Linked DNA regions of Cricetulus griseus. The protein of the gene in region 2 interacts with the protein of the main gene of each other region in a biochemical or structural test. Links are inferred from orthologs where the notes say so. Each region holds a gene or a part of one and is shown on either strand. Other genes may lie near its edges. The genes, in order: DNA-binding death effector domain-containing protein 2 and Cflar.

What was found.
Region 1: the proteins of Cflar (region 2) and DNA-binding death effector domain-containing protein 2 form a complex in vitro, tested with the Homo sapiens proteins (2 studies listed by BioGRID). The link is inferred for Cricetulus griseus from reciprocal best matches to the Homo sapiens genes CFLAR and DEDD2.

Annotation. Positions count from the first base shown.
Region 1 is NC_048602.1:9,965,303-9,969,771, forward strand, and holds the start of DNA-binding death effector domain-containing protein 2, read right to left. Parts: upstream 2,963-4,469; 5' UTR 2,806-2,962; intron 2,158-2,805; 5' UTR 2,119-2,157; coding exon 1,791-2,118; intron 704-1,790; coding exon 587-703; intron 1-586. UniProt on the Homo sapiens protein: May play a critical role in death receptor-induced apoptosis and may target CASP8 and CASP10 to the nucleus. May regulate degradation of intermediate filaments during apoptosis.
Region 2 is NC_048595.1:413,040,341-413,044,161, reverse strand, and holds part of Cflar (CASP8 and FADD-like apoptosis regulator), read right to left. Parts: exon of another isoform or gene 3,775-3,821; intron 3,759-3,774; exon of another isoform or gene 3,556-3,758; intron 3,447-3,555; coding exon 3,341-3,446; intron 1,914-3,340; coding exon 1,778-1,913; intron 810-1,777; coding exon 724-809; intron 1-723. UniProt on the Homo sapiens protein: Apoptosis regulator protein which may function as a crucial link between cell survival and cell death pathways in mammalian cells. Acts as an inhibitor of TNFRSF6 mediated apoptosis.

The DNA.
Region 1 (4,469 bases), on a different chromosome or scaffold from region 2:
ACCAAAGAGCTCAACAAAAACCTCAGAACTGCCGGGTGTTGGTGGCGCATGCCTTTAATCCCAGCACTTGGGAGGCAGAGGCAGGAGGATCTCTGTGAGTTCGAGGCCAGCCTGGTCTCCAGAACGAGTGCCAGGATAGGCTTCAAAGCTACACAGAGAAACCCTGTCTCCAAAAAACCAAAAACTTCACAACTTTCTAAACACACACACACACACACAGCACAAGCAACAGAATGTTAGTGATTTCTGAATCCAAGCAAAGATATTCTCTATACTATCTTAACTTCTCTGGATGTTTGAAATTTCACATAATTAAAAATTAGGGGATTGTTTACTCTAACTGGAATACAGTAATTGAACTAATTAAAGGCATTCACCATAAAATAAATCCCAGCCAAGGCTGCCAGGTCACATGGGTCCACGTGATACCACTTCAGGGCACACGCTTCTTCCTATAAGCGACAACAAACGCAGACACACCGCAAAACAGTCAGAATGACCCTTCAGGCCGTTTCCTTGATGGGCCAGGATGCCAGTTCGGGAAGAAGACAGGGACACTGTCACCCTACCCACCCGGTGGACTCACCCGTGTCCCACTGACTCTGCTGAGAAGAACTGCTTGGCTGTCGCCGACGCCGGCAGCTGCCCTCTGCGCTTTTGGAAGAAGAGGCGGCACTGCCATTACTGTAGCGCTCGGGGGACACTGGGGAGAGAGAATGGAAGAAGTAGCCACAGCTGGAAACCTCCAGGAAGAACGCCCAACCCCAGTCCTCGGAGGTGACGCCTAAACACCCACGCATCCTCAAGCGCCTCCTACCCCGACATTGCTGAGGCCTCCCAGGACAGTGCTCATGGGGCTGACCAACCATGTCAACAGCTCCAGCTGCCAGGCCTTTTCTTTTAGTAGCCCAGGTCCCTGCAATGGCCTCTGTCCCCACCTGCTCCTGGCTCAGTCTGGAGCCCCTAAATACAAGTAGGCCTTTCTGCTTCTGTTCTAGAGCCCAACACTCAGACATATTTTTCCAAAATCAAGACAGCCTATCTCTAGAGGCACCCTCCCTTCTGTTTAAGCAAATCCCACAGGCTCATTATGGGACAGGAAAGCTCATAATCCCCCTCCCCCCCTCCCGAACGACACACTGTATCTCTCGAGAAAGAGCCCAAGAGCCTACCCATACACAGGCCTCCTATACCTGACCCCTCCCAGCTCTTCCCTTTCTGTTCCAACCCTGGACACAGCCCAGGAAGGTCTGAATCCTAGCTAGGCCCCTCACTTGCTACAAATATTATACGTGTGGCATACTTCCATCCCCACCCCTGTTTTAAATGTCATCACCTTGGAAGAATATTCCTCCATCGTTACCCAGTGTAGGGCCACCCCCCCTTGTTTTGTATCCATCTCACTCAATCTATGACTATCTAAAGCTAAGTTCCTTATTTATTATTATTAACTGACTCCCTCTACTAATGCAAGCCTCACGGAACGGGCATCTTGGCCTTATTTTCTTCGTAGCCAACACAGAAAGGATGCGGTTCTTGCGTGCAGTAAGATAACTTCTCTGAGCCTGCTGTTTTCCCTGTACGGTGAGGAGGCTAAAAGGTGACAGTTTATATGAAAGGTTTAACCTCGGCCCGGCACACAAAGTCCCACACACAGTGGCCACAATCATCACTGACACTCCTAACCCAAGTGGTGCCCCTCTCCCTTTTTGGGGGGTCAGCGCACCGCAGGCCCCAGTTAGGAGCAAGGCGCTCCTAACAAGTCGTGCACGCTCCCATGCAAACCTTACCCGGCCGGCGCCGCTTGCGGGCCAGATGTGGCAGCAGGTCCTGTCGGGCCAGCACGCGCAGGAGTTGGCTCAGCAGCCGCAGGTCGCTCTCGTCGCACTGGCCGCGTCGTTCCAGCTCCAGAAGCAGCTCCAGGCCGCTGCGGGCGCGGGCCAGGCCTCCGGGGGCGCCGGGAGCCTCATCCAGCAGGAAGGCCAGGAGCTCCAGTTCACACTCGGTCAGCTGCCCGCCCACCACCTCGAACACACGGTGAAGCGATAGCATGCCGTAGTAATCCAAACACTCATCCTCCTCCCAGCTCGGGGCCGGGGTCGACCCGGACAACGCCATTCCCAGGGGAGGGGTGCGGAACAAGCTCAGAACCAGGGCCTGGAACCCACACAGCGGGGAGGATGTCGTGGTCAGCGACGCGGTGGTCCCCAGCGCGCACACGGGCCAGCGTGTGTCCCCACCCCCCCAACACACACACCGGGCAGGGTGACCCCACACCCTCGACGGCCTGAGCCTCCCCCTCCCGGGGACGGGAATGGTGCCACCCGAGGTCCCCAAGTAACAGGTCGAGACGCTCGGTCCACCGAGCAGCCAGCCGGGCCAGCGCAGCCCGGACGCGCCCCCTCTCGCGGTGGGTGGGCTCCGAACTCGCCACCCACAGATCCATCGGCCCCAACGAGCCCGGTGGCCCGGGCCAGGGCACCTTGTCCCCGGCCCGGTGACTCTGGGAGGCGAACGTGCAGGCGGGGCCCGAGGCTCTGTCCACCGGTTCCCTCCAGGCAGCCCCAACGCTCGCCCCGGGTCACCCCCGCGGTGCGGCTCATCCGCGCCCCCCCTCCGGACCCCGAGCCTCTGCAAGGGACCCCCGCAGAGCCAGCCCCGAACGCCACACAGGGGGTCCCGCTCGCACCCCGCCGCTCGCCCCGCAAGGCCGGCAGGCCGGCCCTGCGCTCACCCCGGCACCCCGGCAAGTGTCCCCATCCGCCCGCCGCCACCAGTCGCCCTCGGGCCCCTCTGGATCCTCACCAGATCCCGGCGTCCAGCGACTCCCCGGCGACGCACGGCGGCGGCCACTTGTTTTGGCTCTTTTTCTGGCACCTTCTCTATTATTACGCCTGCGTCACCTCGCTCCTCCCCCCGACTTCGCCCAACGCGAGCAGGTGCGAGCGCCGCGCCCCTACGGCGCAAGCGCAGAGTGAGGCCTCCAAGCTCCACCCCCTCCAGGCCGCGGGATCCGCCCCCAACCGAAGCGTGTCCCCGCCCCTCCCCACGCCCGCCTGCCTTCCCCGGGCTCGCCCGGGCCGCCGCGCTCGCGCTTGCGCCGCCGCGGCTGAGCGTCGCCGCTTCTGGCACTCGCTGGATCGTGATTGAAGTCTCGTGTGTGTGTGTGTGTGTGTGTGTGTGTGTGTGTGTGTGTGTGTGTGTGTGTGTGCGCTCACTGGATCGTGATTTAAGTCTCGTGTGTGTGTGTATGTGTGTGTGTGTCTGTGTGTGTGTGTGCTCACTGGATCGTGATTTAAGGCTGTGTGTGTGTGTTTGCTCACTGGATCGTGATTTAAGTCTCGTGTGTGTGTGTGTGTGTGTGTGTGTCCCTCTGTGTGTGTGTGTGCTCACTGGATCGTGATTTAAGTGTGTGTGTGTGTGTGTGTGTGTGTGTCTGTGTGTGTGTGTGTGTGTCTGTGTGTGTGCTCACTGGATCGTGATTTAAGTCTCGTGTGTGTGTGTGTGTGTGTGTGTGTGCTCACTGGATCGTGATTTAAGGCTGTGTGTGTGTGTGTGTGTGTTTGCTCACTGGATCGTGATTTAAGTCTCGTGTGTGTGTGTGTGTGTGTGTGTGTGTGTGTGTGTCCCTCTGTGTGTGTGTGTGCTCACTGGATCGTGATTTAAGTCTCGTGTGTGTGTGTGTGTGTGTGTGTGTGTCTGTGTGTGTGTGTGTGTGTCTGTGTGTGTGCTCACTGGATCGTGATTTAAGTCTCTGTGTGTGTGTGTGTGTGTGTGTGTGTGTGTGTGTGTGTGTGCTCACTGGATCGTGATTTAAGTCTCGTGTGTGTGTGTGTGTGTGTGTGTCTGTGTGTGTGCTCACTGGATCGTGATTTAAGTCTGTGTGTGTGTGTGTGTGTGTGTGTGTGTGTGTGCTCACTGGATCGTGATTTAAGTCTGTGTGTGTGTGTGTGTGTGTCTGTGTGTGTGTGTGCTCACTGGATCGTGATTTAAGTCTCGTGTGTGTGTGTGTGTGTGTGTGTGTGTCTGTGTGTGTGCTCACTGGATCGTGATTTAAGCTCGTGTGTGTGTGTCTGTGTGTCTGTGTGTGCTCACTGGATCGTGATTTAAGTCTGTGTGTGTGTGTGTGTGTGTGTGTGTGCTCACTGGATCGTGATTTAAGGCTGTGTGTGTGTGTGTGTGTGTGTGTGCTCACTGGATCGTGATTTAAGTCTCGTGTGTGTGTGTGTGTGTGTGTGTGTGTGTGTGTGTGTGTGTGTGTGTGCACTCGATCGTGACTTAAGTCTGTGTGTGTGTGTGTGTGTGTGTGTGTGCTCACTGGATCGTGATTTAAGTCTGTGTGTGTGTGTGTGTGTGTGTGTGTGCTCACTGGATCGTGATTTAAGTCTGTGTGTGTGTGTGTGTCTGTGTGTGTGTGTGTGTGTGCTCACTGGATCGTGATTTAAGTCTGGGTGTGTGTGTGTGTGTGC
Region 2 (3,821 bases):
CTGAAGCAAGAGGAGGGTCATTGCAAGTTCAAGGCCAACCTGGGCTACATATTGGATTCCAAGCAAGGCTGTGTTACAGGGTGAGATCTCATATGAACTTTATGGTACAATGTCTAAGAATTACTGTATGTATGTAGACCATCTCTGCATGGTCAAGAAACTGGGACATGAGTATTATGGGGTAGGAAGAAAACACAATTTTAAAATCTCTTTGGGGACATTTAAGTTTTTCTCTCTATAGGTACATACTATCTACTTTTATTTTAAAAGTGAATCTTCAAAGAAACAAAAAATGAAAAAAAAAGTCCAATATATAAATAGACACATTTACTAATGCACATAAGAGTGAGAGCAAAAGGAAGTATCCCAAAATATTAATAGTAGTAATACCTAGTAACAGACACATTATTTTAGAGACAGGGTTTCCCTGTGGCTTTGGAGGCTGTCCTGGAACCAGCTCTTGTAGACCAGGCTGGTCTCAAACTCACAGAGATCTGCCTGCCTCTGCCTCCCGAGTGTTGGGAATAAAGCCGTGCGCCATCACTACCCACCAGCTGAGCATTTTTTAAGGTTTATAATCATAAGAAGTTGCACACATTCTTAATAAAATACATGTCTACATAATTTGTTCAGCTTTTACAACACATGAAATGAGATGCACACTTTTATTACATCTCTGAAACCGGTTCATGCTAGCACTCCGCACACTGGCTCCAGACTCACCCTTGAACTATATGAAGGCTCCTTAATACTCAAGTTTGGAAGAGAAGCCTGGAAAGAGTTCATATAATTTGATCCTACTCCTTGGCCTGTAAAGACAGAGAGAGGGGCTAAGGTCCATAAATTGTCAAGTGAGTCTTCAACAATGCTTCAGTCCCAGTCGATCGTCATCTTTCAAAACACCTTAGACCTGAACCATCTGAGTTCAAAACATCATCAGCTCAGATGACTTCTGCCCATCAGCAAAAATGACTAACAGGATGGCTGAGCTGACTCAGTGGATAAAAGCACTCGCCACCAAGTCTGACAACTTAATTTCCTCCCACATGGTGGAAGGAAAGAAATGACTCACTCCCACATGGCATGTAGGCATGCATACATGTGTGTACATGGGCTCGCGCACACACACACACACACATACACACACACACACACACACACACACACACACACACACACACACAAATAATATATGAGCATGTTTGTAAATTAAAAAGAAAATTAAGGACTATTCCTATTTCTGATTGTCATTCAGAATTATAAGCAAGTTTCTGTCATGATCTTTACCCTGTGACCCTATGGTAATAGTGTAAGGGACAAGGCCAACCCACTTTATTAAAGAAAAAAACAAAAGTGACCTTTTCCATGAGGTTAAGTGAGACACAGACCACATGTGTAGGACAGCAATCAGACCCAGAGACACTGCCCATAGTTGGACGGTGGTCATCAGGTCCAACATGGAGCCGGATAACAGGGTTCAACCTACAATCCAAGTCATAAATGTTCACAGTCTCTCTCTCTACCCTTTAAAAACAGAGACACAGACTTCTTTAAAGGCCAGAATGTTAAGACCTGCTTGGTGGCAATTTTCAGAGGGAGGAGACTTGCCAATGGGGTTGGAATATTGGGATATGAAGGCTATAAAGGAATATAATTTCTTGACATAGGCTAGAGGGGGCTGGGATGCCTAGGTTCTATTTCGACCATGTATCAGCAAATGACTCCACCAACCATTCCTATTGTGCACTAAAGACCACTGAGAAGCCAAATTTCTTACCAGACTGCGTATACTTCTGAATTTTTGTCTTCAAGTCTATTCTGTGGATATTCTTCAGGCATTTTTCTAATAAATTCAATTGATCTGAAGCAATCAGATTCAGTTTCTCCAGTTCAATCACCAGATCCAAGAAACTCTAAAAGAGTCACCAACAAGAAACACACATGAGTGGAGCCAACAAGTCTCCAGTGCAAACTCCAGGCCATCTGCTCATAACAGCAGGAAAAGGTGACAAGATGAGACCTTCGGGTAACCCTTGGAGATCCCAATCCAGACAGTTCTGCCCAGAACAAATCACCCTCCTGAGTTTCACTCAAAGAGATGGGGGGCTACGGCTGTAGCTCAGGGGGTAGAGTCCTTGCCTAGCATGCATAGCTATTCCCTGGGCTTGATCCCCAACACCACACACCATAAGGGCGTCTCAGAATGTGTGGGTGTGTGGGGGGGTTAACTGAGGAAAATTTGATATGGGAAATCTTCATAATGCCATCTGAAAGTTCTTAAAGTGTTTTCATTGATGCTGGACATTCCAAATCATTCTGTCTCAAGAGAAGGCCACCAGAAAAGGTGGGGCTCTCCTACTCGTTCAACCCGAAACACCAGGATCATTAAAAAAAACTAGACTTCCAAAGTAAGCATTGCTTTGAATTTTATTTTGCTGATGGTTAACATTTGGTTACTTAACTGTTAATCATTAGTTCACAAAGACAATAAGCATAATTACATATAAATTGAAAAGTTGATTAGGGAAACCCCCCCCCCAAATAACTCCTGTTTTCCTTTTCTTCCTCATTCTATATTTGATGTGGGAACATGCTGTTCTCCTATATTCCTAAAATCAAGGAGCCTGAGAAAACTCTTAGAGGCAGGGTAGCCTCTTGGAAGACTTACTGTCACTCCCAAAGACAAAGATTTTTTTGGGCCCATCCTTTGGCTAACCATACCAGGAGTTCAAACACTCTTCCAGCAACCCCAATAACTCTAATATGGTCACCACATTTCTATCCTAATCTACACATTAGCCACTTCCCCACCTCCACAGGCCACTGAGAGAAATAAAACAGCAGTGGCCAGCAAATGAGAGTGGACCAGCAAGCCCTTCAGGTCTCCACTCCACTAAAGCAGATAGGAATCCTTCTCCCAGAGGAGAGTGTCAAATCAGAGAACTGGCATAGAAGCCAGACCTGTGACTGTTTTTAGAGACAGGGTTTCTCTGTGTAGCCCTGGCTGTCCTGGATGGCCTCGAAATCACAGAGATCCCCTGTCTCTGCCTCCGAGTGCTGGAATTAAAGGCATGTGCCACCACTGCCCTGACAGGCCTGTGACTTTTATAGAAGTCAGGACCAAATCTAAGCATAAAAGAAACACCCAAGGTCACAGGTACCAATCTATTTTCTTCTCAATTAAAAACTCATTCTCTTGCTTCCAGTGTTATAGAGAAACCATCTGAGATGCCTAGCTCCCGAAACCACGGCAGCAAGCTGCCCACTTCCCTCTCTCCACAAGGAGTAGGCCCTACTTCTCACAGCTCTTTGGAATGGGCATCTAGAAAAGACAACTTACCTTGTCCTTGGTTACCTTGCCTCGACCTGTGTAATCTCTTGTAAGGAAAATTAACGAGGAAACATCGGATTTATCCAGATTCTCACCAATCTCCATCATCAGCACTCTGTAAATCCCAAAAGTTTCTTTAGTAAACCCACACAAGAATCTAAGAGCCCATGCCTCATCAAGGCCAACATCTAGACTAATTCTTGTCCCATGGAGTGTGCCCTTACTCTATAAAGCAGGAAGCCTTGATAGTCCTCCAAGAGACTATTTAAAAAGTCAAAAAGAAAACTCATCCTCCTCCATTTGTTTGCTTGGTTTGGTTTTTTGAGACCCCTTGCGATGCAGCCCTGACTGTCTTAGCACTCACTGTGTAGACAGACTTGCCTCAGACCACTCACTACCTCCCATCTTCCTGTCTCTGCCTCCCAGGTGCTGGAATTACACACCTGCCCCACCACACCTGGCCTTTCCTTTGTTTGCAGTAGGACACACA